Rhinolophus ferrumequinum: one gene and its partner. The protein of the gene in region 1 interacts with the protein of each later gene in a biochemical or structural test. Links are inferred from orthologs where the notes say so. Each region holds a gene or a part of one and is shown in the gene's direction. Other genes may lie near its edges.

Region 1 (10,304 bases):
CCGAAGACAGTTGGATTTACAGGTTGGTTGTTCAGAAGAGAGAACTGAACTGGGGATGGAAATTTGTGAAATGTCTAGGTACAGATAAACACACAGATACCACCATACATGAAAAAGTAGAGAATGAGAAGAGAGGCGGGCTAGATTTCAGAATGCCAAGGGCCAGTAAAAGAAGAGCCTGCAAAGAAATCTAAGATGGAGCAAGGAAACAGGAAGGTTCAAAACTGCAATATCTCTAAGATCAAGGGTACTGAGAGTTTTAGGAAGGAGTGACTGAGAAATATAAAGACTGAAAATTATTGTTTGATTTAGTGATGTGGGGGTCAGAGTGACCTTTTCAAGTATAAGAGAAATTGGGATGATAGCCAGAAAGAAGCAGTCTGAGGAGTGAAGGAAGATGAGAACTAGGAACAGAAACTATAGCAACACTTAATAGAAATCTGGCTGTGAAAGAAGAGAGAAAAGCTGGTAGCTAAAAAGGAATATAAGATGTAGACGTTTTTTCACATTGTTTTGTTTTAACAGAAAAGAGGTATGTTTAAAATGATACTTTGACAGAAGAAATGTATGTTGAAAATGTATAATTTAACTCAGTTTTAGAGAACTGTAATCTATTATTGCCTACAATAATTTTGTCAAATACAGTGGAACCAACTTTCATTTTAATTTTTCAATTGTTTATGCAGGATAATGCTAATATTAGGGAAGAGTTAAATAATCTGCAACTACATGTTATCAGCAACTTCACATAAGATTCTCTCTCACAATAGCTACTTTAAAGGGCATTATAGTACACTTCCATTTTAAAAAACATGTGTTTGTGTGTGTGTATGTATGAGTCTGTGTGTATGCACACCCAATCATATCATGGTGGTATAAAGCAAAAATTGGCAAACTATGGCCCTTGGCCAAATCTGTCTTGCCACTTGTTTTTGTAAATAAAGTTTTATTTGAACACACACATGCACATAGTGATGGAAAGAATTACATTGAGAATGGAGTATTTAGATATAAAAAGATCATTTACAGGGTGAGGTTCTTGAGACAGTGCAATGGGATGAAATTCAAAGTATAAGTGGAGAGATTGGCCTTTCACAGGCGAAAAGCAATGTCCTTATTTGCCATAGGAAGCGGAAGAGTAAGAGGAGTGAAGATAGTATGTAGGTTTGCATGTTTGATGTTTGATGGCTAGAAGTCAAAGGAGTTTCCATTTGAGCACTTTGGTTTTCTGGGGAAGCTATAAGAAAGATAGTCAGTTGATGGGAAAAGTAGAGGGTTTGAAAATTTGAGAAATCTGAAGAAAGTTTAAGAGTTATTGTAAGCATTATTCATTATAGCCAAAAATTAGAAACAAGCCAAATGCCCATCAACTGATAAATGGGTAAATAAAATGTGTTGTATCCATACAATCGAATATTGTTTAACAATAGAAAATGAAGTACTGATACATGCTACAACCTGCACAAACCTTTAAAACTTATGCTAACTGAAAGAAGCTAGTCACAAAATGTCACAAATTGTATGTTGCCACTTATGTGAAATGTTCAAAAGAGGCAAATCCATAGAAGCAGAAAGATTAGTGGTTCTCAGGGGCTGAGAGGGAAGGGGGAATGAGAATGGAGTTTTTATTTGGGGCAATGAAATATTCTGAAATTAGTGGTGTGGTTGAAGAATTTTATGAACATACTAAAAACCATTGAATTGTACACTTGAAAAAATGTGAATTTTATGGCCTATGAATTATACCTCAATAAAGCTGTTATTTAAAAAGAAAAGTTATTTCAGAGGGTAGACTAGTGAGTGTACTGTCCAAATAAATGAAGTAGGATTGCTGACTAGCAGAGACATCCATGAAGCTAATGAATCTTCAGCTCGGAGCCACTCATTGCACAGGCCCCCAGGAGAATAGGGAGCTGATGGGAAAGGTGCAGTGTGCTGCTTGGGAGGGGAAGCCAGGATGCACTCAGGAAACATATCCATGGGAGGATTCTGGTAAATCATCACAGAGATCTCAAAAGAAATGCATCTGTAGTCCTAGGCTCCAATCATTTGTTATTTATTTTCTCATTCTAAATACACTTTCATCCTAATTTTATATTTGTAATTGTATATTCTTTTCCTTTAAAAGAACTTCCCAAACCGTATAAGCTTCAGGTCCCAGAAGACCAAGATCTGCCTGTGCTGATAGCTGAGGAGCTATTGGAGGTCATTAAATGTGAATTTTTTAGTGGTGTCACTCATGCGTAACTTGCTCCAGCATCACTTGATGCAGGAGAAAGCAGACTGGGGTTCATTCAGAGTTGGGGTTTTGTGAGTTTGGTGTATGTTATTAAAAATATGGACCATAAAATTTAAACTGGATAAGGGGTGAAGAAAGGAGAGGTCTGATGGATCATGAGAAAGCAGAGGTATCAACAGGCTGCAAAAGCTGTTGAGAAGAAAGATTATATTGGAAAAACTTGAAAGATCAAGTTGAAGATATCTGGTTAAAGTGGGATGCTGGAGGTGAATAATAAAGCCCATAGAGGCAATTGTTGGAGGTGATTTGAAGGTCACAGGAAATGACGTGGTCATTTGCTCTAAGGAAAAGTCCAAACTCTGAGATCTCCAGGGGTCTGCACAATCCTTCCCTTGCCTGCCTCTGGAACCTCACCCTCTCACCCAGTGTCCCCTCTCACTCGCCCCACTGCTGCTGTCTTTTAGGTACTCAGGAGCTCCCTCCAGCCTGACTTGTAACCTAGTAGTTTCTCTTTTGTCTAGAACACTCTTCTCCACAACGTGGCCAGGCCAACTTGTACTCATCCTGAGAACCTCAGTTTAAAGTCTTTTCCAAAGGAAGTCTTTCCTAACCTGCTCACTCTCCTTCCATGGAGGGTAGACCCGGTTATACACCCAAATAACACACTCTATTTTTTTTTCTTTCATAACATTTATTAATTGTATTATAGAAGTTATGGGGTTAATTATCTTAAAACCTTTTTTTTCCAGGATAGAGGACTACGGGAACATGTCTGGCTTTCCTCCCTATCGTATCTGTGGTCCTCAGGGACTTATACATACTAGGATATTCCATAAATGTTTGTTGTAGGAATGAAATTTAAAATACTTATGTATAATAGCTTTTTCCAGCATATCTTTTAGATATAAAAGGTAACAGATAATCGAAAAATGGCATATGATGTAAAATAATGCAACTGTCTTGTCTAAAATACATACATGGAGACGTATCTATTGTCAACCTCTCCTCAACCCTTATTTGGTCTCTAGAAATTCTCATCTAAATCAGAGTCAATGATATGGAAAAATATTTAAAGATTTCTTATATAGAAATGAGATAACTGAATCCCTTCTTTGAAATATATATATATATATATATATATATATATATATATTTAATTATTGGAGCTTCCAAAAGCTAAATAGTACAAGATACATTACGATTTTTCTTTCAAAACAACTTTAGAACAGGAGTGGAGACAGTGGTAAATAAAAGCCAACAGTTAACTAAGCAAGGGTGGACCCGTCTTACCAAAGTTAATTATAAATGCTTTTGACTTGGTGTAGACACACTGCCTATGGGAGAAGTGAAAACAAATTCGATGATTTATTTTGGCCTGTGGCAAAATTTGTGTTCACATACCATTTCCCTGAAAATAAGACCTAGCAGACCCAGTCTTATAGTAAAATAAGACCAGATCTTATATTAATTTTTGCTCCAAAAGATACATTAGAGCTGATTGTCCAGCTAGGTCTTATTTTCCGGGAAACACGGTACGTAAAAAGAAATTATTTTGGTTCATTAGCTGCCATAAAAATTACTCACTTGTGTTCTTAAAAAACCCTTACAACAAACATCTTGCTTGTTCTTTCTCTCTCAGTCCTCCTTACGGTTATGCCTTTTATTCTTCCACAAAACGAGTCTAGTTCTCTCTTTACAACGTCTTTCAAATATCGGGCTAAATGCCTCCTCAAGGAATACTTATCTCTTATCCTATCTAACCTAGTTCCATCCCATTGTTCTTTCACCTTATCGGGTTTATTTCCCTCACGGCACAACATTTATCACAATCTGTACTCCATAGACCTTTCACTTTTTTACTCTCCTATGCCACCACGGGAGTGTCACCTCCATGAGTGTAGGAACTTGTGTATATCGCCACCCCAGCACTTAATTTCCTACTATAATTTTACATTTTCAAACTCAGAGGAAGTCCTGAATATGAACGTGTGTAAATAAGAAAACGCCTGAGGTTGTTTCCAGAAATGTTCACTTATCTCCTAATATTTTAGTATTTTTATCTGATTATTTATGTTACCTTCTAAAATTTGTGTTGGGGCTTAGTTTTTCATAAATAAGTTGGAAAAGATATTTCTATTACAGGATCATGTTAATCTCAGGACCAGGTATCATAATTGTAAAACACACACAAGTAGGCAAATAGAACTAGGACATCCAGTAACTTGCCCTTTTCTCGTCCAACATCCCAAAGGGAGACTTTAAACAAATACAAAGTCAAGTGGAAAAAACTGGCAACAAATGGAGGGAGTGTGAGGCTTTACAGTGTCCCAGAGATTGACTCAATCGAATCCTTTGGCCCCTCTAAGAGATCCCACCACTCTGGCAGGGCTGCTCGGGGGACCAGACCACGCTAGCCCGGGTGGGTCCTTCTGTCCTCCCCTTCAGGCAGGTATCTATGGCGCGCTCCCACGCGCCCTCCGCCCTCGGCCCTTCGGTTTCCCAGGCAGGAATCGGCGGGGTCGCTGCCTCCCCAAGGCTCTGCGGTCGCCCTACCGGCTCTTTTACTTTGCAGGCTGTCAAATAGAGAAAACTTCCCGAACTCCAGATCTCATGCAGTAGTACAAACTCCGAACTGACACCCGGGTGAGCCAAGATGGTAAACACTCGAACGTTCCTCACTCTCCCCGCGCCCAAGTCTCAACAGCGATGGCCTTGCCGAGGCTACTCCTCCCGTCCCCAGCACAGAGCGGGCTGGGGGCTCCGGCCGCCACCGCCACTGGGAGGCGGAGGACCCCGCTCCAGCTTCCAGAACTACAGATCCCAGGGTGCCTCTCGGACTCCCGTTCCCTCCCTCTCTCGCTCCCTCCTCCTTTTTTCCCCTCCCCCCTGGCCCTTGTTGTTTTGGCTGGAAGCCCTCGGGCGGAGTTTCAGAGAAAGTCTGGGCAGAAACCGGAGCCGGCCCCAACGTGGGAAGGGGAGGAGAAAAGGGAGGAAGAGGGAGTCGGGAGCGGGAGGGATCGGGGCCGTGGGCCGGGCGGCTCAGAATCTGCCGCTGGCCCCGGGTGGGGGAGGCGGCGCCGAAGGAGCGCAAGGGGACGGGACAGTGGGATCCATCCCCAGAGCCGAGAAGCCGAGCGCCTGGTTCCTCCCCGCTCCCCGCCCTCTTCGGCGGCCGCGAGCGTGAACCCACCCTCCGGCGAAACCTGCTGGGTCCCTAGCGCCTGCCGCCCTGCGCTGCCCAGCGCTTGGCGGCCGACTCAGGACCTACCCTGCGCCCACTGCCCACCGGACCCTCGCAGTTTTCCCTTTCCTCCCCGCTTCCCGGGCGTGCGGGGCAGTGACCCGCCATCCTCCGACGAGGGCGAAGGGGAGGATTGTCCCGGGCGCACCGAAACCGAGAGCGGGCAAGCTGGAGTGGACGCTGCGCGGGGCATTGTGTGTGTGAGTGTGTGTGTGCGCGTGCAGCATAGTGTCTTTCGGAAAGCACTCTGGGGAGGTCCTGTCCCTAGGGGGCGGAGCGCAGGGGACCGAGGCTCCTGCTCCGGGCCGGGGCAGAGTCCCACGGATCCCGATCGCTGCTGAGGAGGCCGCGGGACGGGGCGCCTGGCTGGAAGGCGGACGCCGTGAAGGGAGGCCGGGGCGCCCTCGGTCCGGGGACTGCCCCTGCTCCGAGGTGTCGGCCTCCGCGGCGCAGCCCGTTTCTGTTCAAGTTCGCGGATCTGCGAGAGAGAGCCTCGGACGCGGAGAGCCGGCACTCCTAGTAGCCCGCCCGCTCCGTCGGCCCGAGCTGCGCGACCGGAGAGCGAGGTCCCAGCGTCTGCGCTACCGGCAGGCGTCGACTGTATCGGGATCGCGCCCGCCCGCCCCTCTGCTGCCCGGGCCGGAGCCCGAGAGGCGCGCACCATGAGCGGCGGCGAAGTGGTCTGCTCGGGATGGCTTCGCAAGTCCCCCCCGGAGAAAAAGTTGAAGCGTTATGTAAGTACAGTTTCGGCGGGTGCTCCACGGGCCTCGGTGCCCACACCTCTCTCTGGCAGCTGCAGCTGGCCGCGCGCGGGGCTGGTTGGACCCCATCTCTTTCCCCTCGGCCCCTTTGGGACCGAGTCTGTACACTCATGTTCTGGCCTCCACTTTGACGGGCAACTTTCTTCAGACTCCAGACGCCTGCTTTGCGGGCCTCTTCAGCCCAGAGGAGGGCCCGGCATTTCCAGCTAAACGCCCGCTGCATGTTTTTATTATTCCTTTTAGCAGCGGTGGGGAGAAGAGCATTCTCCTTCCTTTATATCTGCATCTAATCATTATGGGGCTGCTGTGTACTACATTTCTCGCACTAGGAAATTCGCTGAGAATGTAGAACTCACCAGCCCTCTCTTTGGTCCGTACACCCTCTTGCCTTCCCCTGGAGGTAGATTGCGAGAAGCGGGCTGTGGACCTGGATAGTTGGTTTAGAGTTAGACGCAAGCATCTCCAATCCGCGAAAAGAAGAAGAATGAGAAGTTATTACGCGCTCTACCGTTTGCTTTGCAGGGTTCACATTTTCGCGGTTTTGAATCCAGCAACATTGGAGTTTGGCCCTAGAGCCTTAGCAGCTTGCTGCGAGAGGAGGGCGCTGGGGGGAGCCTGGTGGCTGGTGTTTGGGTGCCTTGGACACGCTGTCAAGCCCCGCAGGAGGGGACAGCTGAGGCCAGGAAGGATTTCTGTGGTCCTTTTCCAGGCCACCAGAGTTGCTTAAATGGTATTTGTGTAAGTGGTACAAGATGACGATTATGTGTTAAACCGTTTTAGGTGTTATGGAAAACATTCCTTGAAAGAACCAACCTTACTTTGGTGGAAATCTGTGTCCTCTTCCGGGGACTGGGATTTTATCCTGTTTTCCCCCGTGGGTCCTTTTGTTGCTGCCCCCCTGCTAAGGAAAGAAATGACACTATTGCCCTGGCATATGGAGCAAATTTTTTTTAGTCAAATGTGTTTCAAAAGCAAAATTTAATATATAAATATATATTAAATATATATTAAATATAAATTGACTACCAAGGGACCGACACCGCTAATGGAACCTGTTTCTTGTTGAAGGATATTTAACCCAATATTAGACTGGGGTTAATCCTGTTAGTCACTGTTTGCCAAAGAATGGAGTGAAGTGCAGTATTTAGCTTCACTGAGAATTGACCAGTGAATTTCTGGTTTACTTTCTGCCATAATTGTTATAACAATTCTCATTTAAGGACTTGATGCCACACATCCTAAGAAAGTTTGCCAGAAGTTTTGAATCCTTCCAAATCCTGTCTCTCCACCTATCACAGTTTGCATTACTATCCTGGTAAAAATGCTAATTTTATTTCAAACATTTGGGAGAGGCAGTGGTTTTTTTCAGCTCTTAGTTTTAAACAGAAGGATGTATGTGTGTAAGAAGAGAGAGCAGGGAGTTAGAAAGAGGTATTTGTTTTGAGAAGGCACAGTTTGGGAAAGATGTAAACCTAAATGGTTGGGTTCTTCGGGGAACTAAAGTACAATACATTTGCCGAAATAGGTAGTGGCGATAGAGGTTTAATGTATTCTTTCACATAGTTGGTCTATGGTTCTCTCAAAAGATGCTGTGTACTGGGCTACGAATCATAAGATTAGGAAATACAGTAGGAGAAAAGCCCCATCTCTTGGACTTGCAATTTAATGTAATATAAACCAGAAAGAAAATCGGCCAAAAAATTATCTTAAAAGGGACAAAAGAAAAAAGGAAAGTCTAAATTAAAAAAAAATATTATTTCATTTAATCATCCCAAAGTTTTATGAGGTAGGTATTATCTCTGTTTTTCAGATAAGAAAACAGTCTGCATTACCAGAATGTGCCAGAGGCAGGATTTGAACCCATATCTGCCTGACTGACTGGGCTGTAAGAGGTTAACGAGTCTCATCCAGTTCATTTCAAGTGGAGCTCAGACTAGATCATCTCTAAAGGTCCTCTTAGATTATAACTTTCTAGGAGTCTATGAATATTCAGAATACAAGGAGAAGGTCAGGTGCGGATCAGACGTGCACTGCTAATGACACATGAGACCCTTCAGGCAGCTTTCTGAGTCTTCAAGAAGATGAGACAAGTACAATGTAAAGTGGTTTCTGATTGTGTGCCCACGCTGAATGCTGTGGTTTTATGTTTGTTTTTTAATAGTTGTTTTGAGGAATAAGCTTAGTGTAGTCGGAAAATATAATACTTGAGAGAGACATTAGTCTCCCTAAGTTGTGTTTTCAACAGGGAGAAGAATCTGCCTAACAGCTGGAGGGAGGCTGAGTTTTTCTTGCCCAGCCAAGTATTCGTGTTTTCTTTACACATTAATGAAGTGCATGGGGATAGCCCAGGAAGATAGTGGGCAGCGTGGCTCTCAGGATTGAGGGGTCCAAGAAGGCGACTGGGGGATTACAAGTTAAAATGAGGCTGATCGTATAGTTTCGCTGTCAAGTTGGTTGCCCAGAAGATTTCGAAATTCCCAGATTATTGATCTTGTGGCTTTGGTATACAGTTTAGGTTGCTTTTGCTAAGCCAATTTCAACCCTCAAAGATATAGTCAATGAATTTATGCATTTCCTGTGCTTGAGTTTCTTTTCATGTAAAATCTTGATTTTCTGGATAGAAGGAAACATTGTTAGCCACCCAACAGGCAAAATGTTGCTTGATAATGGTTTTTAATGAATGGATTTGCTGTGAAAAGATACTTGGATTCATGGTACTATAATTGTTAATTGAGACTTCAGAGAATTTGAGCATTGATTCTGTTGGGAAACATTTGGTCCATGGGACTTTGACAGTTGTCTTGCTGTTTACAGTATTTATAGGGTAGTCCAAACATTCATTAAGATGATCCATAAGGGCTTTTAAGTGACAAAAAAAATGTTTTAGTTTTATCTTTAAAGTCATCTCAAGTTATGGCCCCAGTGTGTTCCATTTACAACTCCATTTTATATTTACTGTTTGATAGTCTACTCAGGCAGTGTTGTTTTTGCATACTAGTGTGTTCATCTGATATGGAAGCTTTCCTTGAATTTCCTAAATAGAGTGAAAGTGGCATAAAAGAAAGTGAGAGAAAGACGGCAATGGTTAGCGGATTCCCTAGGCTTTATGTCTCTTCTTCACTTTTTCTATATTTACTTGCAAAAGGGTAAGAAAGTACTTTTTTTTTAATTAAAGTTTATTGGGGTGACAATTGTTAGTAAAGTAACATAGATTTCAGGTGTACAATTCTGTATACCTCATCTATAAATCCCATTGTGTGTTCACCACCCAGAGTCAGTTCTCCTTCCATCACCATATATTTGATCCCCTTTACCCTTCTTTTATGCGTCATCTACCACTTCTTTTATGTGTTTCCTCCTCTGAATTTTTTAAAGTTTACCTAAAATGGAGGTGAACACTTTCATGCTTTCTTTGCATTTTGCTCCTACGGTGTTGCTGGTTTTATCCTGTGTTGTATCTCAAACAGCTGCTTTTTCACTTTTGAGGATCTGAGTGGAATGATATACAGATCACCACCAGTAAGGATACAGGAAACAAGTAAACTCTTGGTAGTGTGCACACAACAGTTGTGCTCAGGTTTTTAAAGCATTATTTAAAGACAAGCTAGCCATTGGAAATAGTGGTGGATTTTTCATCAGGACTTGAAATTTTAGCTGAGATAAAACGCAAGTCTGAAAACAAAGGATTGATTCAAGCCAGCAGGCTGTCACCACGTCTCTGCAGGAGGAACTTCCCCTCTGGCCTGCCTCAAGCGTGGACACCAAGTTTGGGCTCCTCCATGGCCCAGCTGTCAGCATTGGGCAGGTGTGCAATCTCAGCAGGAGAACCTGCTTCTGAGGCCAAAGCAAGGTGGTCTGTTAGCTGCCAGCCGGCCTGGGAGCAAGACCTCAGCCAGTTCTCGGGTGTGTAATCTGCACCCAGCTTGGGATCTGCTCATCAGCTGTCAGTTAAGAGCATGGTTCTTGTCTGGACTTTCAGAACACACCCCCAGTTCTGGAAATGGGCCTATAAACAGAAATAGCCTCTTCCTCTGCGTGAGCACCTGACGTCTTACATGGAGAG
Region 2 (10,549 bases), on another chromosome or scaffold:
CGGGTAGCGGACCCCTCCCGGCCCCCCTCCACCAAAAGGGAGTCTATTACCTGAGGGGAAGCTCCAGCTACCACATCAGGGCATTTTCCCACTCAAATTCACGTTCCCTGGTTCCCAGGCCCAACTGCCCATCCTTCCCCACTTCCGCTTCCTCACTTCCGGCCCCTCACTTCCGGCCTCTCCTAGGTCTGGGGCCCGCGTCTCCCAGGGCCTCAAGCTAGAGGAATGCTTGGGGCTAAAGTATCCCAGCCTGGGGATATCAAGTGGAATGAAAGTAAATGTCTTCATTTAACAATCTGTTGATCTGTGGTGCTGCCCGAATTCTCCTTTCAAAGAATAAATTTTACAACTTGGGTTAGTGTAATTTTAACTGAGTTGAAATGCCATCCGCAGCTGATTTCCATCTCAAAAGAGAAAGAAATTAATAGTAGGCTCTAGAGATTAAAAGAGCAGTGTGCGTGATGGGCAGTGATGGAGTGCCTTCACTGATGGCCTCGGGTACCACTGATGCGTAGTGGATGAAACATTCAGCTGATCTCCAGTGAACACCCACTCTGTGCCAGGCACCCTGCCAAGCAGTAGGGACCATGACCTAAAACACCAATGCAATGCTGGATGAGTTTACGGTCAAGTGTAGGTGACAGGCACCATCCCAGAAGATTGTGACAAGATGTGTATCCTGTAATAAGACAGGAGCGAGCATGTAATTTTGCCAAGGAGTACTTAAGGGCAGGTTTCACAGAAGAGTTTATATCAGAATTGAATCTTAAAGAATGACAGGGAGTTCACTGAATAGACAAAGGAGAGGAGGCCATTAGAGGCAAAGGGCGCCTGTGTAAAGGCTTGAAAGTTGAGAGCACCTATCATCTTGGTAAAACTGCCAGGACTGTAGTTACTATGGCTGTTGGAAAGGCTATTAGTAGAACAGCAGAGGGACATGAAGTGACAGGGGAAAATCAGATCATTAAGGACCTTGTCCATACTACTAGGTGATTTTATCCTTTAGGCATTGAAAATATAATAAAACCCTCGTTTTAAAGCATGTTGGTGGTTGAGTAGAATATGTCAACATTCCACTAGGGTGGAGGTGAAAGACTTAGGAGATGAAAGTAACATTTGTTTTCAGTTCCTACTACTTCAATTATAATTATTATTATAACAGATACTGACATGTAGATAGGTAAGTATAAAATAAGATGATAGGAGATGTGAAAGATGTTGGTGTGTTTGAAATATTGCTTAGCCTGCTATAATATAAAGTAGTGGGGGTAGGAGCCAGAGAGAAATTGAAAAGCTGGCCCAGAAACAGACTGTTCAGGGCCTGAATACCAGAGTAAGGTGTTATTCTATAAAGTAGTAGGGGACAAACAACAAGAATTTTGTATATTGAGTTACAGTTTATGAAGATTTTTTTCTATGCATATCTTATGTAAATTTCAAAGGAACTCAAAAGTAGGCATCAATTACTCCCATTGCACCTATGAGACAGTGAGTTTGAGCAACATGCATTCATTCTACATTACTGAGCACCTACTATGTGTCAGACACTGTGCTGAGTGATAGGAATACAAGGAAATTATAGTCTAACAGAGGAGACAGGAATAAGTCAGCAATTACAAGTTGCCTTGATAAAGGCAAGTATAGAGTGACATGGGAGTAAAAAGGAGATTTGTCTAAATCTACAAAGTTAGGGAAGGCTTCCTGGAGGAGGTGAACTTGAGCTGAGTTTGCAGGAACAAACAGGTTACATGAATTGCCCCAAAACATTCAACTAGCAGGTGATTTAGCTAGAACTTGAACCCAAATCTGCTGCATCCAATTCGATGCCCTTTCCCCTACCCTAAGGAGTAAGCTTGGGTCATTGACATTGCTTGAGTTCTGTTGGCATTCTCACTCACAAGTCTACCTTTTGTGTTTTCAGAAGGTCAGAGATTCCCAGATTTAAAAGAGAATAAAAAACCCATTCCTCTTCTTCTTTTAGAATGAATCTCTGGGTGAGTTCGAAATGGAATTGATTAGGCAAAAGCGTAAAGTGTTACATACCTGGTGGAATTAACTCTGTTAAAGTGGCATTATGTAAAAGGTCCTTCTTATCTGCTTTCCTCCATTTGGGGGCACCATAATTTAGTTGCAGTATTGTAGCATTCACCAAATGCAGACATCTTTTCACAACAGTTACTTGGTGTGTTTTTTCCCCCTGAACTCAGAATTTTACAAAAGACAACAAAGTTCTCTTCTCTTGATTTCTAGGGCATCACTGCTCCCTCCCATCTCCTTGGCTGGTTTCTCCTCATTTCTCTGACCTCTCAGCTTTGGAAGGGTTTGTTCTCTATCTGTATTCATTCTTTAGGTGGTTTTAGCCAGTTTCATAGCTTTAGACATCCTTTACTCTCTCAACAACTCTCAAGGTGTTATTACAGCCCTAACCTGTCCTGACCTTCCCGCTGATGTTTCTCACAAACATCTCGAATTTAATATGTCCAAAATGAAGCTCCTGATCTTCAAAACCATCTCCCCCATTTCAGTAAATGACAATCCTTGCTTCTAGCTTCTCCGCCCACGATCTTAGAGTCATCGTTGAGTCCTCTCTTTGTCTCTCATACCGCACATCATATCCATCAGTTCTCCTTTAATACAGGTGGCTCCCAAGTCTGGGTAGTATATGGTCAGTAGATAATAAACGGTTTATCAGTGCCACGTTCTAATACATGATAAAACATAATATTTATGTTTCCAGATTTTATGGTCACCCTGTATATTCAGAATTCAATCACTTCCCACCACCTTCACTTCCAACCACCTGTCCTAAGTTGCCATCATCTCTTGCCAGGACTGTTGCAGTAGCCTCCTAACTGGTCTCTCTGCTTCTGCTCTTGCTCCTTTACAATATAATCTCAACACAACAACCAAAGATCCTTTTAAAACTTAAAACCCAGGTCAGATCATATAACTCCCCAGTTCAAAACCTTCCATCAGCTTCCATCTCACTCAGAGCAAAATCCAGAGACCTTGCCATGGCTAGCAAGGCCCCACGTGTTCTAGCCCCTCCTCCCTCTCCAACCTCTCTCTTGACTCCTCTCCACCTCACTGACTGAGTCAGGCTTGCTCCCCCCTTAAGGCTTGCTGGTCCTTATACCTACAAAAACTGTTTCCTCAGAGAGCTATCAGGCTGGATCACTCACTTTGTTTTGGACTTGACTCAAACATCCTTTGCTCTCCCAGTGAAATCGCAACCCCCTCCCCACCTCAGCCACACTCCTTCTGACTCTTGCCACATTTTATGTTTCTCCGTGGTAGTACAACCATCTGACGTACATATTGTTTCTCCCTGTGCCAGAGGGTATGATCCAAGAGGGTGGGGACTATGTTTTGTTCGCTGATACATTCCCAGCACTTAGAACAGGCCTAACACAGAGTAGGTGTTCAAACGTTACTTATCAAATGAATGACAAGAGAATGTTTGGATCTACACTATTGAATGAGAAGTACACATTTTACCATAAAATTTAATTAAACATAATTATGCACAAGGAGTTTTGATATTAATAATGATCCCCTCAAAAGGAATTGATGAAAAATTTTAAACAAGTATGCTCTTAAAATTTCTCCACTGTGGATAAGTTCAGATTCCACATATTCCTTAACCTTCCCAATTGTGCTGATATTTTTTATGAGTGTCCATGACATTAAGGACTGAAATGCTGGCATTTTCACATTACGGTCTTTATTCTTAGGTCCTGCCTTAGCACTTGTTCAATTACAGAGCTGGTATGAAATGAACCACTGTAATGGCCTTGCTTCTCTCCCAGGGTGCTCTATAACACACCTGCCAATCATTACTTACTACCGAAATAACTCTCGCTGAGATGTTCCTTTCCTGCCTCTACCCCTTACTTGTAAGGGAGAGGGGCTCTAGTCTGCTCCCTGGGCACAGCGCCTTGTGGAAAAGCAGCTTCCTCATTAGGGTGTGAGCTGAAAACACCACCATACTTCCTATAGTTCAACACTTCCTCTTTCTTCTCATTCCCCAGTCAGGGAAGTTTTAGGGACTCAGCGTTTAACCACCTCTGAACACTGGCTTGGGATAAGGACTGTGGCCAGAGGATTTCAGTGTTCAAAAACTGGCAAAGGAGCTGGTGGGTGTAGCGAATATCCAGGTCGTCACACCATAAAGACTGAAGAACACTGAGGCCAACCATTGTTTTAAAATCAGCAACATGTCGTTATCTCGAAAATCCTATCTTTATAGTATGTGGAAATAATGGGGACCCTATTCAGACACAACTTGAATTTAAGAACATTCAACAAGCCAGCATTCATAAAAAGAAAGTCCTTCATTAAGGAATTAAGAGTAGCAAATTATTCCTTTTAACTCATTCAACACATATTTACTGAGCACCCACTGTGATCAAGGCACTCTGCTGATTCTATACCAGATTCTTCTTTTCTATTTCAACAAAAATATTGAGCAATTGTAGCCAAGGGAAAAGTTCAAAACAAAGAGTAACTCTTGAGCAAGATCGAAGTATAAAGGGGCAAAGAGATAGAAAAAGATACCATTTCACATTAGAGAATAAGGTTAAATTTTAGAACCCCAACTTGAGTCTTATATGGTACTCTCCTTCTTAGCCTTCAAGGGATTAATGCCAGGGACATCCTGTGAGCCCACATTTCCCTCTTTCTTTTGGATCTGGTCCCAAACTCTGAATTGTACCACTTAGCAACTAGCAACTTGTCTAATTTTTGTGCAAAAGATGCAACGCTGCAATCCATTTTCTAGCAAGAGCAAAGAGAGAGGAAGAGGCCTTCGTGAGTTGGTATAGGAGAGAGGAACTTCAAGAGGAGGGCGAGCTATGCATTTGAAGGTAAGAACTGAGAAAGTTGAAGGTGACAGAAACTTTAGGTCAGTGAAAACCCTTAAAATCCCAGACATCCTCTCGTCCAACCAACTCAAGAGAAAATGAATCTCAGAAATTGAAGCAACCAGTCCCAGTTCATGTCTGACAGTGATAAAACTGGGATTAGAACACATCCTGGCTCAGAGCCTTTTTATTTTGTTTTGTTTCAAGGGTGATTTTATGGGCTAAGAGTAATACTGTAGGTTGAGTGCACTAAGAACGCATTTTCTCTGGGATTTTAATATTGTGAGCGATCTAGGGTGGTATTAAATAAGTTCCCCTAAGAATTCCTACCGCTTCTCTGAATGCATGGCTATGCTAAGAGAAAATGAGAGTTTTCCTTCAGGCCAGCAGCAGCTTGCCAATGGACCATCTCTAGGATTAGAAATTTTCTTATGTGAACATAATCGTTCACGGAGGAAATTGTTAAAATTGAAACCAAGCACAAAGAAGCAAAAGTGTTTCATGGAACCTTCTGCATTTTAGTTCAACTCTGGCAGCAAGAAAACAAAACCACACAATCTAAGGCTCACGCCCAACACTCTGAAGCCTCATATCTGCTAGTTCCTGTGTGGTTTGCCTACAGACTGCAGGGCTGACTGGGGGCCGTTTGGAGGAGGGAGTCTGAAGTGAGGAGGAGGCGCCAGTAATGGATCTGTGAGCGTGTGTGTCCTCTGTTAGTGTGGTACCTGGACGACAGCACAAGGTGGATCCGTACTCTGAAATGCAGTAAACTGGATGTGAATTCGTCTTCCTTCTTGCAAGAGAGGATTCTAATAACTTCGTGTCAAAGCCAAGATACAGATTCAACCTCATCTCGTCTAAAAGGTACGTCATTATGCAACATTGGTCCACATACTCTAGAGATCAGTTTTATAATTTGCAAGATGCTCTCCATGAGTCAAGTGTAATTAAAAGGAATCCCATGGGCTCTCCAAATATTGTTTTTAATATTTTGGTTCATCAGCTAAGGTACCTAAATCTTTTGCGATAGCAATGTTTGTGGTGGTAGGATTTGACTTCTAGCAAATGAACTAAGACTTGTTCCTTACCCAGCCCATTATACACACACACAAAAACTCTACTAACTGGCTTCTGAGCCTTCTCAGGGAGAGACTTTAGACTCTGGGATTACAGAGGTGAAATTCCACTTGACCATAGTCAGCATTTAATCCAAGCTGGGACGGGAGGGGGGAGGGTGAAGGGCTGAGCAGCCATGAATGAACGCTAGTATCAGATGTCAGGATTTCTCTCATGGCTTTCATTTCTACTTCTGTGAGTATTTAGGTTGCCCTTACAAAGAATGCCAGTTTGGGTTCCTTTACAAAAAAGAAAATCACGTTAAGATAGATTTCAAGAGGGTATTGTCTCTTTGTCTCTTTATTCAAGTTAACGCCGTATCCCTAAGACTGCCTTCCTTCAGGGGTGGAATCTTAAGACAACTCCTTTATGCTCTGTGCCCCACTTGTTCCTGAACATGAGGTCTGAATACACTACCCAAGATTTTACTAACTTTAAAGTATCACATTTACATACCCGGAACTAGGCCCTGTCAATAAAGTATATGCAACTTAATTTGCACATTACTAAAAATATACATCCCCAGATAAATTAAGAGTAGGGAAAATGTTTAGGATCCAAAAACCCAATGGAAAAGATTGTATGTGCTCATGTTATGTCGTGTGAGAAAGGAAAACCTCAGGTTGGAGACTCTTGTTCTATACAACTGCATGACTGTTCAGTTCTTTAGTGGGTCCCCCGCCCCTTTTTTTCTTTCTCATATTTGGTTTTAGAAGGAACATTTAGTATAAGTATATTTTGCTTTAACAACCCAGTATTGTTTATAAAACTTGACATTTGTAAAATAATTTTAAAGTGATTCTCTTTACAAAAGGCTCCATTACTAAACAAAGAATGCTGTGTAAATAGAGGACCATCTAAATGCATTTAAGTTTCAAGTTTTACAAATTCTTATTTGTATTCTTTTTTCGAGAACTTTTTTGGTTTTGTTGCAAAGAGAGATGGCCCCATATCATTGAATAAAATTACCTTTTCAGATTGAACTTGGGGTGTCTCCCATGTAGTAAACTGTAATCTTATTCTCCTAAATTGTAATAGATTTTTTTAAATGACTTTACTGAAGCAGAGGGGAAGGAGGTGATCGATTTGTTCAATATGAAGAAGTATCTCTATTGCTAATATAATATCCTTTTGAATAGCTTCCACATCTAAGGCCCTGATGAAAATCCCCCTTTTTAAAAAAATTTCAGTTGTTCTACATATACCTTATAGGGATATTGTAAGAATAAATGATTAACACAGATATGAAGTGCCTTAGGAAAAGGCATTAATGAAAATGCAAAATGATATCGTTATTAATTATTTCTTTGAGTTTTGATCATTTTCTTCCCACCTCTTATACAAAGTATATATTACCGCCTGAAGCCCTCTCTTTTAAAACCATTGCCTTCTGGAAGAGCTGAAAATGACCCTAGTTCCCACATATTTTTTGTGTCTCAGAGAATAACACCCAATGGTATTGGTGACTTGTAGGGTTTATCCCTAGACTTGAGCAGAACTTACCTCTTTTCCTGGATCAAGAAAAGTCTACATTTGTTCAAAAATGTGTCATTAAGTGTGATTCCATCAGGATTTCTTAAACAAGTAACGGTAGCTTCTGAATTAGTCCTAGGGACAGATTCTCCATTTTCGTGCCCTCACAAAACGAACTCAAAAGTTGGTCAAGAATCTTCGTGACCTAAGTTATTTGAATCAAAGGATAGAGTCAATTGGCCCTCATTTTGTCGATCACAAGTATTTGCCCAGCATATCTTGATCCGTAAAGAAACAACATAGCCTCATGTCTCTCTCTTTCCTTTTTCTTTTTTTTTTGTCACTTTACAATTTTCAGGAAAGCGTAGTACATAAATAAACATTTACAAACATTTATTGAGCATTTACTATAAGTTGGGCCCTGGGTTAGGCATTGCGTTCTCATCGACAATGTTAATACTAGTCTTTAATACATTTTAGCCAATAGGAAGTCAGTAAATAATTTTTTAAAAACAGTTTTTTTAAATATGCATTCAGAGGTAAACATTTTAAAGCATTAAAAAAAAAAAAACCTATTACTAAGTACATGAAAACAAAAGTCTTACATGTTCTCCCAAGAACATGTAAGCATAGATCTTATGAAGACAGTAAAGAAAACGTTCAAAAGTAAAGTTGAACTATTAGTACATTGAATACCTCCATACTCACCACCTAGATTCAACAATGGCAAACATTTTGATATATCTGTTCCATCTATATGTATTTCTTTCTGAACTACTTGTAAGTTACAGACAAAATGACACTTCACTCCGAAACAATTCAGTACACATCTAAGAAGAAGGACATTCTCATAAGTAATCACAATATCATCATTACCTAAGAAGACGAACAGCAATTCCTTAATATCATCAAATATCTAGGCCATATCGAACTTTTGCCATTTGTCCCCCAAATGTCTTCCATAACTTAAAAATGGATCCAATTTGTAAAAAGGAAAGCACATTTTTTGCATTTGGGTTTTATGTGTTTTTATTCTACATTGGATTCTTTTTAAGGGTTAGGCTAGTTATCTTGTAGAATGTTCCACATTCTGGATTTGTTGATGCCTGATGGTGTTATTTAATTTGTTCCTTTACCCCCTGTGTTTTCTGTAAACTCCAAGTTCGAAGTAAAGCATTGATTCACTTTTGACTGAGCATTTTTTACAAGGTGCTCCATATTGCATCTCATCAGGAGGCACGTAATGCCAGGTTGTCCCTCTGTGATGCTTACTTTGATCATGGCTCAAAGCAGAGATCTCACTCCAGGGGTCTCTCCTTTGTAAAGGTACTTTTCTCTCCTTTGCAATTAACAAGTAATCTGAGCGAGTGACACTTTGGCGCTGTGGTAATAGCCTGTTTCCCAACAAACTTCACCAGTGGCTTTAGGGGAAAATCCTTGCCTAAATCAACTATACCGTTGGGGGTCATATACATTTTAGCACACTTTGAGGAAGGATTGGACATACAAATTCATCATTAGCAGCAGCAACAGCAGATATTTATTGAGTATATAAGTTCAGGTAATAATACTAATACTACCAACCATAATAATAATAAGTAACATTTCCCGAGTGATTGCTGTGGATCCAGACATTCTAGGTTTGAGGCTGAGCCTCCAGTTACAAACTAGGCCAACTGGGACAAGTTGCTTAGTCTTTCTGTTCCTTAGTTTCTTAACCTATAAAATGAGAGTAATAATGGCACCTATCTCATCATATTGTTTTGAAGATTAAATAATTGATACATGTAACATTCCGAAAACAGCGTCTGTTATCTGCCAAGCACTGGTCTGACGTTTTGCAGGTATTAACTCATTTGCTTCTCATAATAGCACAGTGAAGTAAGTGCTAATATTATCCTTCTTTCACAAGTGAGGAAACTGAGGTACAGAGAGGCTAAGTCACTTGCACAGTCATTTAATTAGTATGTGAGAGAGCCTGGATTTGAAGCACGGCATCTGATTCCAGAGTCTTCTCTCTGAAGACAGCGCATGTAATGAGAAGTGACACAAGGACATGGAAATTAGCAACAAGACCCTCCCACCACCACCTCCTAGGTTTTAAATTATTTTAAGTTATTGAAAATCTGGGACTGTTGCTACCAAAATGTGTTTTCGATTTTGTTCATCTGAATAATAGCACTCTGTTAAGCATAGATACTTATTGCATTTCTATAGCTTAAGGCTCTGTGTAAGAAACTTGAAACATTGAAGATAATACTAGGAACTGAAAAATGTAGAACTATGAAGAAATAGGAAGGAAAAAACTGAAAGGAATAATACAAGAGGGGAGTTATGAGACCTCAGAGCCTTGGGGTACAAGACGATATTTTGATGTAGTCAAAGAGGAAAAATCCCTCTCATTGTTCTCCCTCTCATTGTATAAGATTTTACCACTAAAACACGAGTATAGCCATTGTCAGATTTATGGAGGGCCACATTGGATGTCTTCCTGGGACGATGGATGAGTCTTATTAGATGGGAACTTCCCTGGTTGGTTGTCTCACACACTCAAGTCATTCTGTAAGTCAGCCCGTGGTTTCTGAAACATGATTGTATACAGAAAAGGCCTTACAAGCTGGGTATTGGCCTTCATTAGCGTTACAAGACGGTCCCAGTGCTGTCTTACTTGCTCCTTCAATTGCCATTACAGAAAGCTCTCAAGTGTAATTTTCTGAAGAGAACTAAAAATAAATGAGAGAAAAAAAAATCCAACATTAATAATGTTTTTATGCATTTCTAACGCAGTCGTTGCTAAATTGGTTCTGCCTTTTTAATGTTTTTTAATGAAAAGCAGAATAATTGATCAATTGGTCATGAATAATACTTTTTCATTTGTTTTTCTCCACACCTCTCAGCCTTCCAGAACCACAGGTTTAATGTGGCAGCCTACAAATGGTTTATGATTTGTGTCTTTTTTCTAGTACTTTGTGGGAAAATACTGGAAACGAACTGCTGAGAACTCAGTAGGAACTCAGTAAATAATAAGTATATAATTCTCTTGTTAGGTAGGATATTTTTTAAAAAGCCTTTTTAAATAAGTAGGAAATATTACTAGG

Evidence for each region. The genes of interacting proteins can lie anywhere in the genome.
Region 2: the proteins of GAB1 (region 1) and GRAP2 form a complex in vitro, tested with the Homo sapiens proteins (2 studies listed by BioGRID and IntAct, with this or other methods). The link is inferred for Rhinolophus ferrumequinum from reciprocal best matches to the Homo sapiens genes GAB1 and GRAP2.

The regions. Positions count from the first base shown.
Region 1 is NC_046301.1:17,749,281-17,759,584, forward strand, and holds the start of GAB1 (GRB2-associated-binding protein 1), read left to right. Parts: upstream 1-5,325; 5' UTR 5,326-6,142; coding exon 6,143-6,214; intron 6,215-10,304. UniProt on the Homo sapiens protein: Adapter protein that plays a role in intracellular signaling cascades triggered by activated receptor-type kinases. Plays a role in FGFR1 signaling. Probably involved in signaling by the epidermal growth factor receptor (EGFR) and the insulin receptor (INSR).
Region 2 is NC_046293.1:7,687,767-7,698,315, reverse strand, and holds the start of GRAP2 (GRB2-related adapter protein 2), read left to right. Parts: upstream 1-5,497; 5' UTR 5,498-5,726; intron 5,727-10,549. UniProt on the Homo sapiens protein: Interacts with SLP-76 to regulate NF-AT activation. Binds to tyrosine-phosphorylated shc.